Linked DNA regions of Drosophila melanogaster. The gene in region 1 interacts genetically with each later gene. Each region holds a gene or a part of one and is shown on either strand. Other genes may lie near its edges. The genes, in order: Zip89B, Zip71B, ZnT63C and foi.

Region 1 (5,305 bases):
TTTAAACAAATTTTTTATACTTATTACAAATATACATATAACGAGGAAAACCAATATAGCATTAACTATACAAGGACAATGCAAATTTTTCGTGTTGTTTTGCAGTCTTTTAAGTATATAAAAGCAGGAAAAACATTGAAAACCAGTAAATCAAATTTCATAATTTACATGAATAACATTGCATAAACAATTAACCAAAATTTCCTGTATAGTTAAAAAACTCATTTGTATTATATATGAAATATTAAAGATACACAAACAAATTACGCTAAAATTAATATTTCTATGACGAAAATGGAATCCGGAGAACAAGAAAACCGCACTAGTTTATATAAAGTAAATTATAAAAAATATACATACATAATTGACTTTAAATGTTGAAAAACAAAACCAAAACCAAATGAAAAATAACCCATGCATTGATTAATGTATTCAAGAACGGAAATTTACATATTTACGACTCAAAAAGGACAGAGTGCGGAGCAGATCAAAGATAACAAAAAGCGTTTAATGGTTGGCAAGCAAGCAGTGCACGCAGGCCTTTTGCTATTTGCAGGTATAGCAGTTAACATTGTTAACTGCGGCAAAGCAGTTTTAACACTAAAGTAAAGCGAAACAATTTAATTATAATAGAGCTAAATAATAATAAAAAGAAAGCGAGCGAAGACGTACTCAGAAATATTTTCCAACAGGAATGTTGTAGGCATTATATCGTTTGCGAACGCGAATAAAGTAAAATAACAACAGAATTATTGTGTAAAAATGGTTTATTATTAATGTATAAGTATAACAGCAAACACAAATGGTAACTTAAAACAATGTAAGCAAACCAAGAAAAACAACCAACAAAAAAACGAAAAAAATATGAAAATTGAAAAAAACCAAGAAAAAATTAAAACCAAAATAAATGAAAAATTATTACAAAAAGCTTGTGTTTTTTTGGCCATATATGGAGCTGCTTTAGTAAATTGATACATTTTTTTGTTCAGCAAGTTACGATAAATAATAAGCTGTGCAACAAAAAAACAAAAGAATTAGACCAATTACGGTGGGCTTGATTATACTAATTAATAGATCATGGGTCTCTAACAGATATCTCACGATCTGTCCACGCTCCCATCTGGTTTTACCGACTCATTTCCCAAACACGACTAAATTGGTGTTTTGGAGGTATCCTTTGTTTCCGTTGTAACCGTTACACTTGATTTTAATTTCACAAATACCTATGTTACTATCTACAATACATCTTAATACAGTTGATACAAATGCTATTTTCAGTGCCCCGTTTACTCAAGTTGGAAAAAACTCTTTCTGCTATAGAGGTGGCAACCCTAAATAAGGCTTACATTGCAAACCGTTAGTTACATATGCTACCTACCAATTAGCCAGGACGCAAACCCAGACCGCAAAGCAGAGCTTTTGCTTCCGGCCATCTAAATAGCGCCAAAGTAAAAGTCGCGATCCTACATCTTGGCTAAGGTCAGGCGCCTTTTAATGCTGCCCAAAGTGAACGGATGCAATTACTCAATTACTCTGGCCTTTGTGCATTGTCTGTAGATGCCAATATGTGTATGTGTGTATATATATATTTATGCTGAGCCCAAGACAATTAGCGCTATTGCCAAATGAAACAGCGGCGCACAGGTGAACGTTCGCGAGTGGGAGAGCGAGCTTTAAAAGCAGTTTTCTTGCTACTTACCTGCTTAACTTGCTGCTCATGTCTGGTCTTCGTTAGTGGGAGAATCGGAAAGAGCGTTGAAGCATTGGAGCACGGGAGCGTAGAGCCCGCGCAAGATATTCAAGTGAATTACCAAATCCCGATTCCGTCAGTCTGCGAGGTCGCCTCAAGCGCTCAACACCTGTGCGCATCTAGAAAAAAAACAGAAACCTACCTAAATACCAATCCAACCCAATCAGTACTACCAATAAGGACAGGCTCTTAAATCAAACGAAGTGAAAGAAAAGTGACTGAAAAAGTGAAAAGCGGCATGCAAGTGCAGAAACCCAGCCCAACCAGATGAGCCCAACCCACAACCCAGTCGATTGAGATTCCAAACGCGACACATGCTGCTGGTGCTGGAATAACAGTTTTAGCCAAGAGAGCTGCTTGTTTTCGACCACAAGTGGTCAGAGAGGAGAGCCGGAGCCCGCAGTCTTTTAGCTGGTTCGGGAGATCTGTGGAAAACCAAACAAACCAAGTAAAATCGAAACAAAACAAACAGAAAACAAAAGCAACATGAATCAAACGCAAGTAAATAATTTCCTCAAGTGCTTCCTGCAAATCGATGAGCCGTCCAACCGTTGGACATCACGTCACGACGGGGAGGATCTCGATGATAACGACCATGATCATGATCATGACGACGACAACGACGACGACGAGAGTGGCGTTCTGGTTGCCAAGGTCACAGCCATGGTGGTGCTATTTTGCGCCAGCGCGATCTGCGGGTCCATTCCCTTCTTGCTTAACCGTTGCTATCGCTGGACGGAAAACCAGACGAACGCACGATCCGCCATTGTGGTCAAATGCCTGCTGTACTTTGGAGGCGGCGTCCTGCTAGCCACCACCTTTCTCCATCTCTTGCCCGAAGTTCAGGAGGTCGTCGAAGAGCTGCAGGAGTGCGGCATCATCGGAGAGCTCACTTTTCCGCTGGCCGAGCTTCTCATGTGCTGTGGCTTCTTCCTCATGTACTTCATCGAGGAGGCCATGCACACGTATGTCCATCATCATCAGAAGGATGAGGCTGGCGCCGCTTTCGAGCGGGGTCACAGCATCCGAAACAGCCACCTGCTGAAACCCACCGAAGGCAACGCTACCACACCCACAGCCCCACCGGCGCCATTGGCTGGCACCGCTGAACTTGGAACACTATCGGTGCAGAATCTCCTGCAAAACGATCTGGAGCAGCAAAAGTTTGCTACCAAGCCACAGCAACAAGCTAATGGACACGGACACAGCCACGGGCATGGACATGGACATAGCCATCTACCAGTAATCGCAGACGATGCCGATGCGGGGGACATGTTGGCTTCATCTCTGCGCGGACTCTTCATCGTTTCCGCTCTGTCGCTGCACGAACTCTTTGAGGGCATGGCCATTGGCCTAGAGAGCTCCGCCAGTTCGGTGTGGTTTATGTTCGGTGCCGTTTCCGCACACAAATTGGTCCTGGCCTTCTGCGTGGGCGTCGAGCTGATCGTGGCCAGGACCCGGATGTTACTGGCCGTTCTCTATGTGTTGACCTTTGCGGTGGTTAGCCCTCTGGGCATCGGAATCGGGATTTTGATAAATCACGGCGAAGAGACATCCGGACCCAGTCTGGTCTCCGCCATTCTGCAAGGATTCGCCTGCGGCACGCTCATATACGTGGTGTTCTTTGAGATACTCTCGAAAAATCGATCCGGTCTGCGCGCCTATTTGGCCCTCTTCGTCGGCTTCCTTGTCATGTTTGGCCTGCAGCAGTTGAGTAAGTATCACATTTAAATAATAATTACATGTTGTGGCCTTTGAATATGCAAATCGTAGGGATTTAGTGAGACAGAAATTTGCGATGTAAAATACAACTCGGTCTTGCCACTTAAGGCAGTTTTCAATTAATTATATATTGCTTTTTATTACGCAAATTTACATCAAATGATGATTAGTGTACATTTTGCTACTTAACCAGAAATATTGTTTTGTTAGTTTACTTACATTGATATCTATGAATTGCCTAGACACATTAGACCTTAGGGACTCCTGCTTTAATCATTTATCCTTTAATTGGTGATACTTAATAATAAGCAGGCTTAACGGTGATTAGTACGATCGTCGCCGTGTGCGTCAGATGAGATTCTTTAACCGGAATCGATTCGGGGAAATTGGGAACAGGTTCTATATAGCTGATCTGCTAAATGCTGCGTGGTTGACCTTGTAACAGACCTTGCTGTGATTTATTTTGCATACTCATATACAAGACGGCTTGTCAGTCTGTGTACCTAGAGTAAATGTGAAATAAAAATCCCGTCCCTGCCATGAAGTCATCTCGCAAAAATCAGGGGGTTGCCCATGCGAAAAAGCACCGTGAAAACCGCACTCGCAATTGTATTGATGAGCACGGGATAAAAAATCAGACGAGAAGTTTAGGCCACAAATATGTGATTACCCGAAAGTCGGTTAGGTTTTTATATGGTCTAGGGCCAGATAAGGCAGGACAAAACGCTCATAAATCATTGCGTGGAAGTGGGCTGTTGGAATTGAATTCCCATGCTACCATGACGAAAAAAATGTTAAGCAATCAAGAGAGAAGTGTGTAAATCACCATGAGGAAACAGGGTCTACCCGATAAGGATTGGCATTCCTAACAGCATACATTGTTCAACCCTATAACGTGTCACTAACCTTCCTTATCGCTTACAGCTTCCATTGGCGGACATGGTCATAGCCACAGCCACAGCAGTTGCTCCACGTCGGAACACACACACAACCACCAAGAGACTGAGACTGAGACCAGGTCAGCATCGGGCCACACCCATGGCCACCAGCACGACCATGATCATCCACATCACCACAACCACGCTGAGGAGCTGGCCACGGTTCACAACTATGAACAGCAGCTGCAGCTCTTGCGGCAGGTGACCCAAAAACTGCTTGAAGCCCACCCCAAGAAGGACGCCTAGATTGTACCCTGCTCAGCAGAATACTAATTGTATATGTATTTATGTGTATTATATATTTGTACTGTGTAAAAAATAGTGAAAGTAGAAACAAAATATATATTAAAAAACTGAAGCGATTAAATTCTGACATTAAATGCAATTGCTAAACTGGGTCAAAAAATAGTAAACGCTAAGAGAACTAGAACTCTTATCTATGCCCAGTATTTGTGGCCTTTACAGTCTTTTATGAGGTTACAGCCATTTATGACTTCTACAAAACATAAATTTAGAGAAACAAATAATTTATTTTTGTGAACTTATAGTTAAACACAGAAAAAGCAACAAGGAAAGTACATAAAATATTACAACATTCCCTAATGTTCAGGGAGCTTTTAAAATTTTTCTTCTTAAACAATAAAAACAATTAGTGATTCGACATTAGGTTTCATATTAACTGAAAATCAAATTTGCCCATATTCAGTGGTTAGCGGTTACGTACATATAACAAAGTGAAGATACTCGTTTTTAAGTGAATAGATCGGACATATCAGATTGAAAAAGTCATTAGCAAATCCGAATCGATTGATTAATGAAATATGTCAATAAAGCTAAGGTATGTTTAATTTCAAAATTTGGCTTAATAGTAACTTAATTAGATGAGTAAGCGGTT
Region 2 (7,842 bases), on another chromosome or scaffold:
TTGCATACTTTTCGGTTCTCTCGCCAGACGAGATCCTTTCGTCAGATGCAGTGGCAGTCACGTTTGGCGACAAGATGCTGGGGTATATGTCCTGGATTATGCCCTTCGCTGTGGCCTGCTCCACTTTTGGTTCGCTGAATGGAGCGATCTTCGCGTCCTCGCGACTTTTCTTCGTCGGTGCAAGGAATGGTCACCTGCCGGCCGCCATTTCGCTGATTAACGTTAATTGCCTGACACCTGTGCCCTCGCTGATATTCCTGGTAAGTTAGAGGCTTAACCTAAGTAAAGAATCTATAAATATTTGTTTTTATCAAATTATCATGTTCTTTTCTTTTTTTAATTTCCCAGGGCGTGCTCACCTTGCTGCTGCTGTTCATCGAGGACGTCTACGTACTAATCAACTACGTCAGCTACGTGGAGGCGTTGTTCACGCTGATCTCGGTATCCGGACTGCTGTGGATGCGCTACAAGCAACCCAAGACGGAGCGACCCATCAAGGTCAACTTGGCGCTGCCCATCATCTATCTGATCGTCTGCCTGTTCCTGGTCATCTTCTCTTGCACGCAGACGCCATATGTGGTAGGAATCGGGACGATCATTATACTGTCTGGAATTCCGGTCTACTACCTGACCATCCACAAACCGGTCAAATGGCTGGCGGACACTTCGCAGGCGATCAACCTGTGGTGCTCCAAATTCTTCATCTGTATGCCCAACCAGGAGAAGTTCGACTAGGACTGCAGGACTCTACGACTTTGGGAAGAGAGGGCCTTTTGTGGATGTATCGATCAACGCAACTATAGAAGGGAATATCTTGTAGTTAGGATAAGTCTCAATTTACCCCTAAGATAGGTTAGCAACGCGAAATTTTGAAAACCTACGCACAACATTACAAAAGTGTTATTGTAAATAACTCAAATGCATTCTGGTAGGGAAGTCCCTGCTTCAATTAATATTATTTGTTAGTCGTACTTTTAATGTATATTTCAAACCCAAAAAAAATGAGTTCCTCGTCGAAAGCAGAAGTACGCCTGTTATACAAAATGCGAACCAATTTTTACATATTATACAAGTAATTAGGAGCTTATTCAGTAAGTAATAATTATTATTGATGCAACTTTTTGCGAAATGTAAAAAATCGAATTTGTTTTGTATAAGAAAGTTAATAATAAACACATTAAACTTTAATCTTATTACTTTTTGTGAAGTGGGCGGAAATTGGCATTTTAAAGGTAAAAAAGTAACTTATATCATTTCGCATGGTATCTATTTAAAGTATCATAATTATCTACCACAATATTTATTAATTTTTTTAAATATTTTCATTTTCTAGTTATTTTTCCTACTCCAGCGAGTTCTAAAACTCACTACTTGATGAAAGCGCCTTTACAACGCCTTTAGGTATGCAATCTTTTTCTTCATAGTTACAATCTACCGGATAGTTTTTAGTATAAAGTATTGTTGCTTAATAATAACATTTAGCCAGATTCTTAAGATTATGAAAGGAAAGTGTAAAACTTTAGTATTTTCAATTTAAAGGCTGAGTACACTATTTAATGTGAGTTTAGCCGATGAACAGGTTAATCGACTTTATTAATTTTTGGCGCTCAAATTTGATGGTCCGGCGAAAGCTTTTCCAAAGCTCAATCCAAATGACAGTTAAGTTTGTAGCGAGTGCGCAGAGCGATGAGTTGCCCGCCCAGTGGGCGAAGGAGAGAGGGAGAAAGGAGAACGCGCCGACGCTCGTCGAACCGAAAGTCGTATAAAACGTTGCGTGGGCGAAACTGTCATTTCAAAAGACCGTTGAACGGGATCGGTAGTTGGCTGCAGTGTTACGGATCGCACGCGTCTGTAAAAACTCGAAAAAATCCCGGTGAAGCCCCCAGTGAAATGACGAGTGACCAGTAGATAACCGGGTTCAATAAAACGAATAGAATAAAACGAAAAGAGAAATACTATCTACCACCACCTGAGTGTTCAGTCCATTACGATGGCCCAAAAGCAGGTGCTAGTCTTAAACCTATTTTGCCTGGGCTCACTATTTTTCAAAACAGTGCCAGCTTCCACGGAATACAACAAATACGTGGCGCAGATATTTCAAAAATACGGCAACGGCGGGACAATCAACTTTGAGGTAATAACCAATAAACCATCGAACTAGCCTTGTAAACACACACAAGAGCGTAATTTGAGCACAGGTAAACACAGGTAAACAAAGTCGGACACGGGACAAAGCTTTTGCGGTTAGCGTTATGGCAAAAAATTAGTGAGTTTGTGTCTTCTTTTTTTTCTCTCGTTTTTGTCATTTTTGGGCCAGCAACAAAAACAATGTGTGGGAGGGGGGGGGGTGTTCTCATATGATTACGAGTTAATCAAATATTTGGGCATTGTGAAAGTGAAACAATTGTGTTCTGGCCAACTCGGCTTGATCGGGCAACCAAAACACTCTCAACAGCGATTATCGCGTCACTTTTAAAAGGTTGTAATCTTTATATGCGCGCAGCAATTTTATAACACAGTGGGCAGACAGCAGGCACTTCGTATGATACAAAACGTAGACTTTATTGCTGGCATTATCATAAATTTAATCAAAATCCAGACTAACGAGCAGCACAGGCACAGTGAGATGTACAGTACGAGACTTGAGCATCAACACGACGAACAACACCCACCCCCCGCCCAAGACATCCTTCTATATCCACGTCGGAGATTACGAGATGATAAGCCCGATAAGACTGCTTGCTCCTCCTCCTAATGGGCGCACACTGGATGCCCGATAAACCAAAGATACAAAAGCAACCGCAACTTTCGCAACGCGATCGTTATGCTTATGGACTCCAAAGCTATAGTCCGTCCGATTCCGAACAATCGGAGCCAATTGACATTACTCATGCGTATGGGCTACGCAATACGGTGTGTCCATTTGAATGGCAAGCCGCTACTAAAAATGTTTTTACTTTTTACGCACTCGGCATACTAACATTAAGGGTTGGATGCCCGATGCCCCATGTCTCATGTCCCATGCCCACCCAACCGTCTCGTATTCTATCATCATTCTAATATTCCAAATTTGATTACATATAGCACACTTGGCACACAAACAAATCTCAGCTGAATGAAAGTAAAATTCGCCATTTGGTGGCTTCATGAGCTACATAATAAATAGTTTTTTTTTTTTGTGTGTGCCAGCGCGTGTGTGTCTAATGTTTGTTCATATGCAAATTCCGCCATCCTGATCTTGGGAATCTGGGCAATTCTTTGGAGCCACTCATCACACGCCGGACACACGCCCCGATCCCCGGCGACAGGTCGCTGTCGAGGCAATTAGATGGGGCTCCACCGCCGCCCCGGGGAATCTCCACCCACTTTAGCGACAGCAAATATGCGACAGAATGGAGGAATAACAATAAACAAATGAATTCAGATGTAAATATAATTGCCTGGCACGTTGACAAGTAAATCAAGTAATTATCGGTGATAGATCGCAGCCAGAGTATATACTTTGACAAATTAGTTAAATAAATAGCAAATGCGATCGATTTGTCGGCGTGAAATTTCGTGGATAGCTACTGTGAAAAATGTGCAGCAGGTTAAGGTTTGTTTTTAAAAACGATTTCAGGACGCTCACCGAAAACAAAACAGCTGGCAGTTGTTTTGTTGCGTTTACTCCAGCTACTTCGAGATTAATTGTTGTTTTTAAATGGGTTTTAAAACTTCAAGGTTGCACTTACTGTTTAAATAGTTTAGGGAAATCACAACTATCTAAAACTATTGAATTATCAAACTTTCTGAGAATTTGTGCATAGATATTTGTAAGTCTATTTATCATTGCCAATGTTATTTTAATACCTATTATCAAATACTTAATTATCGTTAAAAGAAAATAGTTTGTCTACAATTATTGAAGCATAATGCTATCTGTCCTTATCATTAGATAGTTTACTTATATTTTGCGCCTTGCAATAACGTGTGCCTTAATCACACTTGTTTTACTTTGGTTTTGTATCTTGGAAAACTTCCAGATAACGTCTAAGTGCTCTCTAAATATGCTGTAATGCTGCTTTAAATGCCTATTAAATGAGGAACTAAAATATTTTCCAGGGTCTTGAGCATTTGATGTTCAGCCTGAACTTGGGTCAAATCCAATTCGATCCCTCGCACACGATCGATCAGCATCGACCTCAGGGATACTCGAACGAGATGCCGCATGCCACAAATGTAACGTATTACTTTGAGCCGACACGAGTCAATGCCACCGATGAGGAAGCTTTGGAGCTGCAAATCTCTCCTCGTGGCAATCACTCAAATTCACAGTCGGAGGCCGAGGTTCCGGAGTTCCTAGAAATTCATGACCCCAAGCACCGACATCCGAGGGAGAGTTCTGGTGAGTGGCGTCGTTTAATATTTAATGAAGATGTGCACCAGTCTTATCTTAATGGTCGGGGATTTCGCACTTTATTTCCAACCGTATTACTGTATGTATTTGCCGACCATCAGCTATGACTGATAATACCTAAGCTACGCCAGGATAGACAACATGGTCATAAATCTTAGGATAATTTGTTTTAACACTTATTCCGGTTCTCCAGAATCCACCAGGTCTGAGAAATTCCAAAAAATACGCGGATTGAAGCTCACTTGACTGGCAGTTAATAACAAGCATATATACATGATAAAACACCAGCCACCTGTGGCACAATACAAAATTGAGCCCGGCAGAAGTATAGTATATATATATAGTATAAATAGATGAAGCCCTCGACTTGACTCGACTCTTTCCATCAATTGGCCGATTTCCAAGTGCAAGGCGACCGGCGACTGCGGTCTATCATCAATTCAATTATGCCATCCCATCCTCCATCCCATCTCATTTGGTTGATAGGAAGTTCCGTCTGTGATCGTGGCCTTGTCGCATAAATTATCATTACCATGTATGTGCGTATATATACTTAGTATCAGATGCGTTTTTCTTTCTCCTTTTGGGCCGTAAATGTAGCCGTAAATCAACAGGTAGGAAAGATCATTGTCAGCAGGCGACGAAAACAGGGCGATAGCACGATAAACGGACGCATTATGGATGCGGAAATCCAAAAGAAAACAACAATTGAACGGATTCAGATACAGATACAGATACAAAACGAGAAACAAACAGGCCTCAATCGCTTCGCTTGTTATTTATTTTTGTTGGCTAAGCCTTACAGTTTTAATTGAAGTGCACACAATCATTACAACGTTGTCCCATATAAAGTTAACACTAAACAGCCGACTGGATTAATGGCAAGTTTGCACATGCGAATTGGATAACAATCGACTGCTGAGAGAGGGCAACGTGTCGGAGTCGAAGAAATACGTTTGCTATTTCCATAGAATGAGTGTAAACATGGGAAAAAGAAAATTCCCCATACCTAGCATTATAAACAAAGTGCTTAAAAGGTTTAAATTAGAACAAACAGTTGCTGCTCATAATGTGAACCCAGCCAGCGCTATATAGTAATGCATAACGTATAGATTAAATTGCAAACTGCAGAAATCACAAGTAATTCACATGCAACAAGAATTACTCAATGCAGTCCCAAGGTGCTTATTCCTTAGACTTTTACCTTAAACAGGAAATATTTTCTCTGGTTCTTAAAATTACATTACTTTTACACTTTTTATTTTCAGAACCTGTTGCCGCTTGCTTATCACCGAAGTCTTTACTTTCCCTCATCGTGAACCACAACGATCTCCACAAAAACATTGCCTACCGCAAGCTGCTCATTAAGAATGACGTTAGCTCAACTGATGGCGTCCACAATTCTGAAGAGGAATACAACGAATTCATCAACTCGGTGCGGATCACTCCGCGAGCTTTTATGAAACTCTGTCCAGCTCTATTAGCCCAGATCGATAATGGAGTTTGCAAGCAACCAGCTGTACGATCAGTAAACCTTAACGATAAGAACCAGAAGATATGGTACGGTAGGTATCTATAATTAACACTTTGTTATACAAGATAACTTACCTATATCGATTTAGCTTGGATCTATGCCAGCATCACTATGCTTATACTGTCCGCTTGCGGATTGCTGGGCATTCTTCTGGTTCCTTTGATGAAGTCGGCTGCCTATCAGGAAATTCTCAAGTTCCTAGTTTCCATCGCTGTGGGCACTTTAGCTGGCGATGCCCTGATGCACTTGCTCCCCCATGCCCTTTTCAAGGAGGAAAAGCACGAGGAGGAAGTCACTGGTATCAATCCCTTGGAATCTGATCACAAACATAGCAATGAGGCGGCTCTGCTATGTGGTTGTACTTTCCTGGCTGCTCTATTCATGTATATGCTGGAGAACCTGATTCCGCTGCTAAAGGGCGGTAAGCCGGGTCATGGACATAGCCACGGACATGGTCACAGCCACGGCCGCAGTCATGGACATATGGAGAAGCCAGCTGCAAAGGATGCTATTGATCTGCCACCTCCTCGAGAGCTCAATGTGATGTTGCAGGAGGCCAAGCTGGATGAGAAGACCCCCGATCGACCGCTCACCCCAGTAGCCTTCATGGTAATCATCGGAGATGGCTTGCACAATCTGACCGATGGTCTGGCCATAGGTGCAGCCTTCGCAAGTGATCCGGTCACTGGATTTGCTACCGCCTTTGCCGTTCTCTGCCATGAGTTGCCACACGAACTGGGCGACTTTGCTCTGTTGCTGCAAACAGGTGTCTCCATGCGAAGAGCCGTCTATATGAACATTGTTAGCTCAGTTCTTAGCTTTGTGGGCATGTCGGTGGGTCTCTTTATTGCTGGAATTGGAGACGGCATGACCCAATGGATTTATGCAGCCACCGCTGGTTCCTTCCTGTATATTGCTTTTGCCGATCTGGTGCCCACAATGAGTGTGGCCCACAATCCGGAAAAGGCCAAAGATCCAAAGGGTATAATAATACAAATTTTTGGTATCCTTCTGGGTGGACTGATAATGTTGGCTATTGCCCTCAATGAACACGATTTAGAGGGCCTGTTCAAGAGCTTTTAAAGAATAGCTCTGAGTCTCAAACAGCTTTGTTAATTTTGTTTTCTTATTGTAGATAGTAGTTTAAGAATATGTTTCTGTGGAATCTCTGATTCTCTTGCTTCTTTAAGCATGCCTTACTTGTTAGAGATGAAATCGTTACCAAATGTTAGTCTGTGGTCAGCTTTATGTATGATTTAAACAGCACCTTCCTTAGTGTTATTGAAACTTTAATATTAAAATATAAATGTTTTTAAAGAGACAATTAAAATAAAAGAACTGTGAGCAAAAAAGAGAAACCCTAGCATTGGCAATTAAAAGAATATAGAATCATTAAATCGTAAAATAAGACCAAAGTGTTCTTTTATATAAATTCTGCCTTACGAATGCTAAATCTATAAATAATAAGAGCTATCCAGAATTTCATTCCATAAGATAATTAGCTTGTAAGTTAAAATGGTAAAAGCAGAATTTTGTTTGCTCATATCCTTTTAAAGACGGATTTTCTTTGTTATAACAAATTAGGACGCTCTTTAATGATTTACTTTTTTAACACTTACAGTATAGTTTTAAATATTAAAGAACGTTTTAAGATAATTGCAGTTGTTGTTGTTCCTCAAATGGTTCATTGGGCAGTCGTGCGGGGCTCTAAAATGTGTTTTAAATTTGTGACACAGCTCTTTATCGAAAAACGTCGAGATATACTCACAGGTTTCTTAGAACGCTCCTCCAATACACCAAATGCAACATGATTCAGTTGGAAGCCAGACGGCAGTGCAACGCCCTGAATGCGATAGAAAGCACCAGAGGGACCCTCCTCCGCAACTTTGTGGGCAGCCGAGATGACGCATTT
Region 3 (4,706 bases), on another chromosome or scaffold:
GCTTTCTGTGCAACAGCCAATACTTTTTTTTAGCTTTTTGTTCTACTTTGACTACCATTTTAATGCCAATGACCCAAGCGGATAACTAGTGACAATGGCCTGTGTTGTAGACACAAAACCCACGACTAATTGTGTGCTCATCTGATCTTTTGTTCTAACGCCATTTACAAGTTGCCTGATCCAGATTTTCAGGAAGATCACGTTCACAGCTATCGAATTTTGATATATTACCAAATTTGAAGCCCGCTGTTTTAGCCACATTACAACGTTTGCCACGCTAGTCCAATCTATGGCCATATAAATCTCAGCCTTACGCTCACCTTTGTACTCTCCTTATCGTTGTTTACTTTAGGGTTATTAACGAATTTTACATTTTAGAAGTTGTTCGAAAATGGCAATTTATTCTGTACGGCATACTATATACTATATGTGTTTTACATATTTTCTCCCCATACAATATGCCTACATATCATTGCCACTATCATTATGCCAACAACCATAACAATAACAATATCAGAGACAGGTTCGGTAGCACTCGCAGTCCAATTTAGATAATTTTCCACTGGACATTTCAGTTTAAGCGGTACGAAAGCCGGAAGCTGCTCATATGAGCATATCTCCTCTGTTCGTATAATAGATTTATCTTTTTTATCATAATTTGTTTACGGGCACTGCCGATGACTGTCATTTGTCGCACATATAGATTTGCGTATGTGGAGCTCGTACTAACTCCCTTCCATTCACAGTGACTAATTTACTAAATTTGGTTTCTTTTATTTACACTTTATTCACTTTATTTTCTCTTCAAGTTCCAATTGCCTGTTATCACGTAGGGAACATTTACCCATTCGCCTAATCTTATCACTCACTACTTCACGCACACGGGGAATTCAGCAAAGGTAAAATAGGTAAAAGTCTTATTGACTTTTTGACGAAAAATGGAAATAAGTCTTGAGTTAAACTAAATGCTGAAACGTGCTCAATATAATTCCGCTGATTTCTGAATTGATTATGGGGGTAGTCACTTTGGAATTACCGATTTTATGATGGCTTTGTTTCTTTGTACACCTGTTTCCTCGGCCGGTAAACGCGCTACTAACGAAATCCCCAATGATCGTGGTCAGTGATGCCGCTTTAGCCATGAATATTATCTTCAAAAAAGATTTTAAAGTTGGATGTTTCTACTAACAACTCACTTTTGCCCTGAAAATATATATATTCTTTTTTTTTGCCAAAATATTTTATTTTTTAGATAATTTCCTTATAAAGGCACGACATCACTAGTAAGTCATTTACCTTTCCCATCCAATACACAAACCAACTTTGAGCTTGAGTGCCATCGAGCTTTTTGTTGGTTAAAAGGGGTTAAACGCAGTTGTTGGTAGTTTTGCGTTAAACAAAGAGTTTAAGCTACATTATATTGAAATGTAACGCCTAAAAAAATAGATTTATTGTAAAGTAGCCCTTCACAAAAATATTTCGTATTAAAAGTGACAAAATGTATCAAAAGCCTGCCAGTTTTTTATTTCAATTACATTACTGGCTCCTATTTTGGTTTCTACTACATTTACTAGTTTTCAAACTTATTTTTGAAAGACCGCTTGTAACGGTCGATAGTCATTATTGTTAACCCGATAGAGCTGCACAAATATTATCGATATATTATTGGTATTTTCCAACTGCCCGGATGGATTTTCGATGACTGTGGCTGCAGTCACACTGAGTCGGGAAAATAATTATTTATTAAAAATTCGTGGACCCGCGCTGTACATCTGTGTCTGTGCTGTTCGCTCCGCTCCAAGTGCGGCAAAAAGCAACCAAGAAGGCAGGCAGCCCAATCGGTAATTTACGGCGGAGTAGTGAGGCGATATACGGAAATCGCGACCAGTGCACGTGCAATTGTGAATCGTTCTCGATTTTCCCGACCCGCACCCTTTCTTCTCTTTCGACCATTGTGACTGTGCACAATTAACTTGCATACATACGTGTATGTATGTACACACTCTGTTTGTATGTATGCGTGCCACCCCCAATTGAGGCGGAAAAAGGAGAAGCAAAGGAATTTCTGCAAAATCCAAGATGCCCATGCTATTTTCACTATTTTATTTTGCCAACTTTTCAGTCGACACTTTGCTCTTGCAGCAACAAAGCCAACAACGGCGAAAATTGGAAGTTATTTTCTTTTCTTTCTCCACTCTTTTTATCGCAAAACAACAGCAACACTGCCCGTGCACCGCTCTCCCCGCTCCCACTTGCGTCCTTGTTAATACAGTGAATATCGGCTAGCCACAAACAGGGGAAATACAAAGAATCTTAATTTGCATTTGTATGGTTGATAAAAAGTCAACTTATCAACTTATCTAAATCGTCAAACCAAAGTGACTTATACATTTGTAAACATTTTTAAGCGTTTTCCCTGTTTTAATTGCGAAAATAGTAAAGATATCGTGTTTTATTTTTATCAACAGTGCAGCGAAAGTTTTATAAAGTATACATATATTCAGTCAAATAATTATTAAAGTCCTATACTCTCCGTATACACTGGATTTGGTTTTTTATTAATTTTCAATTATGTGTATTTTGAATTTAGCCTCTTCAATTGGAGCTTAGGAACCTTAACAACCAAAGAACCGATTTCCAGACTTAAAGCTAAGGTAAGTTAAATACACCTATTATTCTTAGCCTCATTATCAATTTTTAATGAAACTTCAAAAAATAGATTGTAAGAGTGTTATATCTCTTTTCTTAGTTAAACATAATCTCGGAAATGATATCCATTATCTTACGTAGGGGATTTGCCTGCAGGAGACCTGCATCAGCATGTCTGTTATTGTTGCACGTGGGTCACCGAACTGGGCGGGTGTGGGCGTGGTCAGGTAGTAGCTGAGCATATCTGCATTTCAACAATCGATCTTAATCTGCGCTTGCTTTTGAGTTCCTTTCGTCTAGGACTTGTTATACTTGATTTATGGCCCCTTCCCGCGATTTCCCATCCTCGAAAACCGGTTGTTTTGACTTAATCATCGGTTCTCGCTGGTTATTTGATATGAAATTCTTTCTGACTCACAGCAGTTGTTTAAATTCTGGCGTGGAAATCCCGATCTTTTTCCTTATCAAGCCAAATAAATATGAAGGCTAATTTGCTATGTTTGAATTATTTTATTTAAATTACTTTTGAAAAACAAATAGGCAGTACAGCTATTAAATAGCAGGTTTTTATTTGTTAAAGCGTAATATCTTTCAGATTTTATAGATTCTAAATCTTCCCATATAGGTTTATTTTTCCTCATTAAGTCTTGCAAATTATGTTCGATTTTCTTTCTGTATCGGTTCTGAGATATTGTATGTTGCAGCGATTTTCACTGTTGCATAAAACTCTTGTATTCCGGGCCTAATTAAATCACTTTAAATGCCTGCTCGGTGTGGCTGAAATAATTCGATTTAAAGGTCAGGCACTCACCCAAGTGACTTTCCAACTCTTTTTGTTCTCGGCTCCCAGTCAGTCATCAGCGAAAATTGAGTGAGATCGAGGAGGAGGGGAAAATCAATATGTGCTAATATAATTTTGTGGCAAACAAATTAAAGCACACAGAACAGCTCGTCGTCGCTGCTCTGATTTGTTTAGCTATACGAATATGTACCATATTTATTCAGTTGATTTGGTTCAGTTTCAGTGGTGAATATTTGAGCAGCAGCATTTAATATTTGATACTGGCCAATTTGATTTGTGGGTAAGCACATTGACTACCGCCCAAAACTGAAATGCAGCCGAAAATGGGGCCAAAAGTGGGTTATGTTTGCTCCGACCACCATGCAAGCTGGCTTTGATTTACGACTGCAACTAAAGTAGGTTAACCTAGGTCCAGATAACTACTACATTCTGCTTCTCCAACGATACCATATTCTAATCTCAAAGTTGCCTGAGCTGCTGGCTTTCCAAGAGTAGAATCATGTACATGTGACCTTGACACGGTTTTCACTTGCTATGCAGGAAAAAGGGTTTCCCGCATCCACCGTACCGTATCCATTGAAATTTGATTTTGTTATTTGTTTATCGACGCCACTTCATGCAAATTGGAGAAATTCAGGTGGATATATTTTTAGCTGACACATCCATGCAATGTTTGCAAATGCATATATAGTATTCACCTTTCTGCCAGCCTGATGAAATTCTTTTGTATATTTTTCACTCTGTTCTCCGTTCTCGTGGAACTCAACCAGGTTGGACCACCCAACGCCCAGCTCCGTCTCTTACTTTGCCTTTCTCTGCGCCGCCCTTTTTCCAGAGCACCTCCGTCCGCCTTCCGTTCCCGGAGGTCGGGAAAAAGAACCGGGTTAATCGTCGCCACGTTGTCGCCGTGGAGAACAAATGACTCTTTTCGTTTGTGGGTCAACTGCAATTTTTGCCATTAATATAATTAATTGATTGCCATTTTGGTTTTAAATGTCGTAACTTTATGTGAGTGAAACGCACCTATTAAATGGGAATACTCACATAATAAAATTCAAAAGCGTTCACATCGCAAAATCTATAAGAATGCTAAAATTGTTTTCAGTGCTGCACTTCACACTTACGTAGCAAAAAGATTTACCCAATCTTAAAATTACTTTAATTCCTGCTTAATAAATCTTTCTACAAATTGCCGATCAATAAATCAACAGTGCGTCTAATTTGGCTTATCGAAATGCCCACTTTCGAGTACTTT
Region 4 (5,026 bases), on another chromosome or scaffold:
TCTATTAAATTTACTTACTATTTTTTCAATATAAATAAATAAATAAACTTTAGGAAAAACTGCTTTGTTTTTATTGTTTAAAATTGCACTTTAAAATCGTACATATCGAGAGGCTACTGTACCAAAAACGTACGATTAGATTTGCTGAATCGACTTTAGTTCGCATAACATCTCCATATCGAAAATCGCACGCGTCTGTTTTTTCCGAATTCTCGTGGTAATTGTATAGTCGGCAAGTCACTGAACTCGCTGCTCTCTGAATTCCATGTGTACACCAAAATTTCGCATGATATCTCCAACGAATAGTGCTGTCCCATACGGATTAAATTTCCGCAGAGTAACCCTTTTTAGATGCGGAAAGCTTATGCAGCTGAGTCAGCATAAATGAATTTCATATACATAGAACCTCCACATAAATTCGTTTGGCATCGCAAAAGATCTCCATGCTGAAATTTCAGGATAAGGGTGGGTCTCATTTCGCAAATTGTGAAATTCCAAAACGTTCTGATTACTTTTCGATGAGTCAACATCATGAAATTTCACATTAAATCTCAATTTCATATACTCAAAATTCCTGGAACCCATTCCACATTTTATGCTTCGATCGCACAATCAAATTTCGCATGACATCCGCACAAAAAGCCTAAAATTGAACACGCGATCGCTCAAAGTTCAATAGATAAAACTTGATGAGTAAATTTCACATGATATGTACATACATGGTATCTCCACGTTTTTAGGCCCCTGACACTGCATAATATCTCGTTTTATACATGTCACAACCTTAAACTGCGAAATTAAATCTAGAAACGTACTCGTAGAACTCCTCGCAAGATTTATGAACAACTACTATGCACAATCTACAGTTTGTTTAGCCTGAAATTTCCACCGTACATCTACATCTCCAGATCGTCTCTCTACCTGCTGAGCAATTTATCTTTTATCTTGGCCGCAACACAAACACGAAATTCATACCTGAAACTTCAGCGAAATAACCTGCGAAAAGGTGTACCCAAGAATCCAAGCACATACATACACACACAAATTTGGGCATTATCTTTTTTTTTTTTTGTTTTTTGGTTTCTACCTTTTCATAAGCCAAAGCTTGATGTGAAATTTCAGCAGTGTGTTTAGGAAGATATGAAAAACCTCGCGTCATGTGATGGCCACATGGAACTGAAGTTCTGGATGGGTAGAAGCCAAGTACACACAACTAGACTAAGCTGAGGTCAATCACGTCGGATTCAGATTCGGACTCGGTCTCGGAATCCGAATGGACAGCTACGGATCCAATCCGATTGGATCAAATCCGTACGGAACGAGGCTCTGACCTTGCCATGCTCGCCGTCTGCTGAATTACATACTATGTACGCTGGCTGGCTGGCCGGTTTAGTATTCAGCTAGTACGACCCACCAAGTGACACATAACTGATGTTGAAGGGCTGGCCATATGCGATAAATAATTCATCTGGGGGCATCGAAATGATCGTGGATCGCCGAGAAACGTTTGTTTTCCGTATTGAGTTGTTGGTTGCTGAAATGGTTGGCTGCCTCAGTTGTTGGCGCCTGGTTGCAAGGCATTCATAGCTGATATTGCATTTTTTTTTATTTGCAAATATACATATCAATTTTTGCAAATTACGCTGGCTCATGAATAATTGATTGGCGGCGGGCGTTTGGCGGAGAAATGGAAAAGTTCGCGCCCGATAAGGATGCTTCCCTTTTGGCCACCACCGGCACCACTATCTATGATTCATGCACCACCTACACTTCTAAAAAAAAAAAGACAAAAACAACAGAACTATGTGGAAGGCAGCCAAAAGTGCGAAAGGAACACATGTTGATATATGGGTCAGTGGCGATAACAGTGACGGCTTCCAAAGGGGGTTACGCATCCGGAATACAACTTAAATATTTCATATCCCTCAATGCGCAATACAAATATAAAATCTAATGACGTTATGTGTAAGGTGATAAGAGTATTTATTTACGCAAAATGTAAGCTGTGTACGTCGAACACGTGGATTGTAATTGTAACTATGATCGTTTGGATAAGTCTATTGATTTAAATAGAGAGAATGCTAGAGATAAAGCATACGCGATGTGAAGACTCATCCACGTTGTCTTCCCCCTTGAAATCTTATCTAGCCCCGCCAGTGGATGATAAGCATTCTGGCCCGTTTGATAACACTAATTCCATTGATTTTGCGTAATTAGGCTCTGAAGATAGCGAGCATGGAAATGGTATCAGAATTGCGCTGAATTATGTATAGAACACATTGATGATGTCGATCGAAAATAGCATAAAAACGTGCTGAATATCAGTGTAGTTACGTGTGCATCTGCGTATGTGTGTGTACAACAAATACATATGGATGTAAGTGAGCGGGTGTCAAAATCACACGCACATGGAAATGTCCCGCTATAAATAAATACGAGTGGGTGGTGGTGGGTGGATTTTGGGCGGTGGGAGGTGGAATGGGGGCGCGTCGCATGCACTTTCCATTCTGAACGAACTTATGCCAAGATTAAACAAAGGCGAATAATTAATGCAAGCCCACTACTAACTCACCCGTAAATTTGCCGGACTGTTTAGCACATCGCACACTGTAACACACACTCACACAATTCCCACTAGAGTTATTGCGGGATCGAAGATAATGCTGGACGATTCTGGGAGCTATAGCTTTTGCCGATGCGGTGGGCGTGAATGAAAGAGGCCGTAGAGATTACGCCGAGTGTCAATTACGTTGCAATAATCTCGGTTTGGCACGGGAAATCGAATCGAAGCGAGTCCGCATGGAGCGGCGAGATTTGCACGGGATACGGAGTACGGGATGCGGCCACCAACACCAACACGGGCTCAGTTACGCAAGGGCGAGCTTACTGTAAACATTTTCCGGACACGCTAAACATATGCCGCAGCAGCCATCTCTCTTTCGCTCACACCGCCAAACACAAGAAATCCGCAACTAAAACAATTTTGTTATAACAATTATCGATAGGCGGTAGGGATGTGGAAAAACACCGAATCATCCGCGATAGGTATCGGTGTTCCGTTGCTATCAACGCTACACATCGATGGCGATCAATGTAACCTCTTGCAGCAAATATTAAAAACGATAAATATAAATTGATTTTAGATTAATTATGTATATACAATATGTATTTGGAGCAGTGATGCAAATAGTCTATTATGGATATATAACCATAAATTATTGAAATTAAAGTCCTAAATAATAGATGAATAGATGACTGAATTATATTTAAAAAAATTAAAGTTGTAAAAATTAATATTTAAGATTAAGATAGATTTTTTTAAACCGATTAAATAATAATTGATTAAAAATACATCAATCCTGTAAAAAGACAATACGTTATCGAGCCACCTTAACGTTTACTGTCAAATATCGATAATTGTCATAACCCGCAAAACAGGTTGTGTTCCTTTCCAGAAAAAATTGTATTGCCAATATGAGCAATACTCAGCACTTAACTATTGGTTAGTATAAGTTACTAAGTTCCAAATTCACATTTAAAAGGCGCATATATATTGCAGGCTCGCCAAAGCCCGTATTTCCGGATGATGGGATCTTAAAGCTGTATTCGATGCGCTTTTGCCCCTATGCACACCGTGTGCACCTGGTCCTGGATGCCAAAAAGATTCCCTACCACGCTATCTACATCAATCTTCGCGACAAACCCGAGTGGTTCTCCCTGGTGAGCAGCTCCACAAAGGTGCCGGCACTGGAGCTGGTCAAGGAACAGGGAAATCCTGTGCTGATCGAGTCGCTCATTATTTGTGACTACTTGGACGAAAAGTATCCGGAGGTGCCATTGTATCCCAAGGATCTGCTTAAAAAAGCCCAGGAGAAGATTTTAATCGAACGTTTCGGACAGTTCATCAATGCCTTCTACTACCTGTTGCTGCACGACAATCCCGAGCAGCTGGTTGACACCGATCACTATGCCGGATTGGTCGTTTATGAGGAGGAACTGAAGCGACGTTGTACCAAGTTCTTTGGTGGCGACAGCCCAGGCATGCTTGACTACATGATGTGGCCCTGGTGCGAGCGCTTTGACTCTCTGAAATACACTTTTGAACAAAAATTCGAATTGAGTCCGGAACGTTTTCCCACTTTGGTGGGTCCTATTGGTTTTCTAATTATGTCTTTTAAATTACCGAGATTGTTCTACTGCAGATTAAGTGGCGCGACTTGATGATCCAGGATCGTGCTGTCAAGTGTTTCTATCTGGATGGACAGACCCATGCCAAATACATGAACTCCCGGCGATCGGGCCAGGCCGATTATAATATGCTATAGTAAGATTTGAAGATTATACATATAATGTGTGACTGATCCATTTCTCGTTTCTAGCAATGAGGCCAAACGTGTCAAATTGGGGTAGTCTACGGGATGATGGCGTTTCCACTTCAGCATTGTACCTTTTGCACATATAACATGTAACACATGTACCTACTACGGCAGCATTATTGTGATTGAAAAATAAATCTTTGCATTTTCATTGTTTATACGGGTTGTAAGTACGTTTGTTTTAGAATTAGATTAATGAAGGTATGAATGATAAATGGATATGAAAATACTTATCTTAGAGTAGTCGTTTGTAGTCTTTAATATGTGGTCAAACAATTTTCTTAAATATGAGCTTAAGAATTTTAAATTCACCCGCTCAACAATCGAAATATATTCGATAAATTCACTCGTCCGGCGACTGCGACCACTTTATAAGGTACCGGAATCCCTCTATTTGTTGTCAGTCGATCGGAACTACTTTGCCACCAACATTTCACGTCTTGGGAATTATTTTAAAATTGTTAACAAAATGGCCCTGCCGCAAAAGCACTTCAAGAGGGGTGAGTTGGGGGCACTTCAAGGTCATCGGGATAGTGACGCTGCAAAAGTTGGCAATTGATTTCATAGTTTTATCTAGACCCCACTTTGAGAGGCGTAAATTACGCAGAGATAGAGCTTTAATTTTAGCCAAAGCATAATGGAAAACTTTC

What was found.
Region 2: of Zip89B (region 1) and Zip71B, changing one enhances a phenotype caused by changing the other (phenotypic enhancement), as found in Drosophila melanogaster (one study listed by BioGRID).
Region 3: of Zip89B (region 1) and ZnT63C, changing one enhances a phenotype caused by changing the other (phenotypic enhancement), as found in Drosophila melanogaster (one study listed by BioGRID).
Region 4: of Zip89B (region 1) and foi, changing one enhances a phenotype caused by changing the other (phenotypic enhancement), as found in Drosophila melanogaster (one study listed by BioGRID).

The regions. Positions count from the first base shown.
Region 1 is NT_033777.3:16,303,935-16,309,239, forward strand, and holds Zip89B (Zinc/iron regulated transporter-related protein 89B), read left to right. Parts: upstream 1-1,823; 5' UTR 1,824-2,236; coding exon 2,237-3,464; intron 3,465-4,396; coding exon 4,397-4,656; 3' UTR 4,657-4,766; downstream 4,767-5,305.
Region 2 is NT_037436.4:14,990,482-14,998,323, forward strand, and holds Zip71B (Zinc/iron regulated transporter-related protein 71B), read left to right. Parts: upstream 1-1,807; 5' UTR 1,808-1,990; coding exon 1,991-2,134; intron 2,135-4,101; coding exon 4,102-4,384; intron 4,385-5,664; coding exon 5,665-5,961; intron 5,962-6,018; coding exon 6,019-7,013; 3' UTR 7,014-7,502; downstream 7,503-7,842. Other genes in the region: mnd (minidiscs), read left to right, coding at 1-260, 349-735; mRpL39 (mitochondrial ribosomal protein L39), read right to left, coding at 7,578-7,637, 7,699-7,842.
Region 3 is NT_037436.4:3,302,012-3,306,717, forward strand, and holds the start of ZnT63C (zinc transporter 63C), read left to right. Parts: upstream 1-1,696; 5' UTR 1,697-1,841; exon of another isoform or gene 1,842-2,262; intron 2,263-2,590; 5' UTR 2,591-2,654; intron 2,655-4,706.
Region 4 is NT_037436.4:8,523,251-8,528,276, reverse strand, and holds the start of foi (fear-of-intimacy), read right to left. Parts: upstream 3,034-5,026; 5' UTR 2,573-3,033; intron 1-2,572. Other genes in the region: GstO1 (glutathione S transferase O1), read left to right, coding at 3,475-3,502, 3,560-4,143, 4,203-4,324, 4,380-4,410; GstO2 (glutathione S transferase O2), read left to right, coding at 4,846-4,876. UniProt on the Drosophila melanogaster protein: Required for the normal migration of longitudinal and peripheral glial cells. During larval development, required for the migration of the subretinal glia into the eye disk.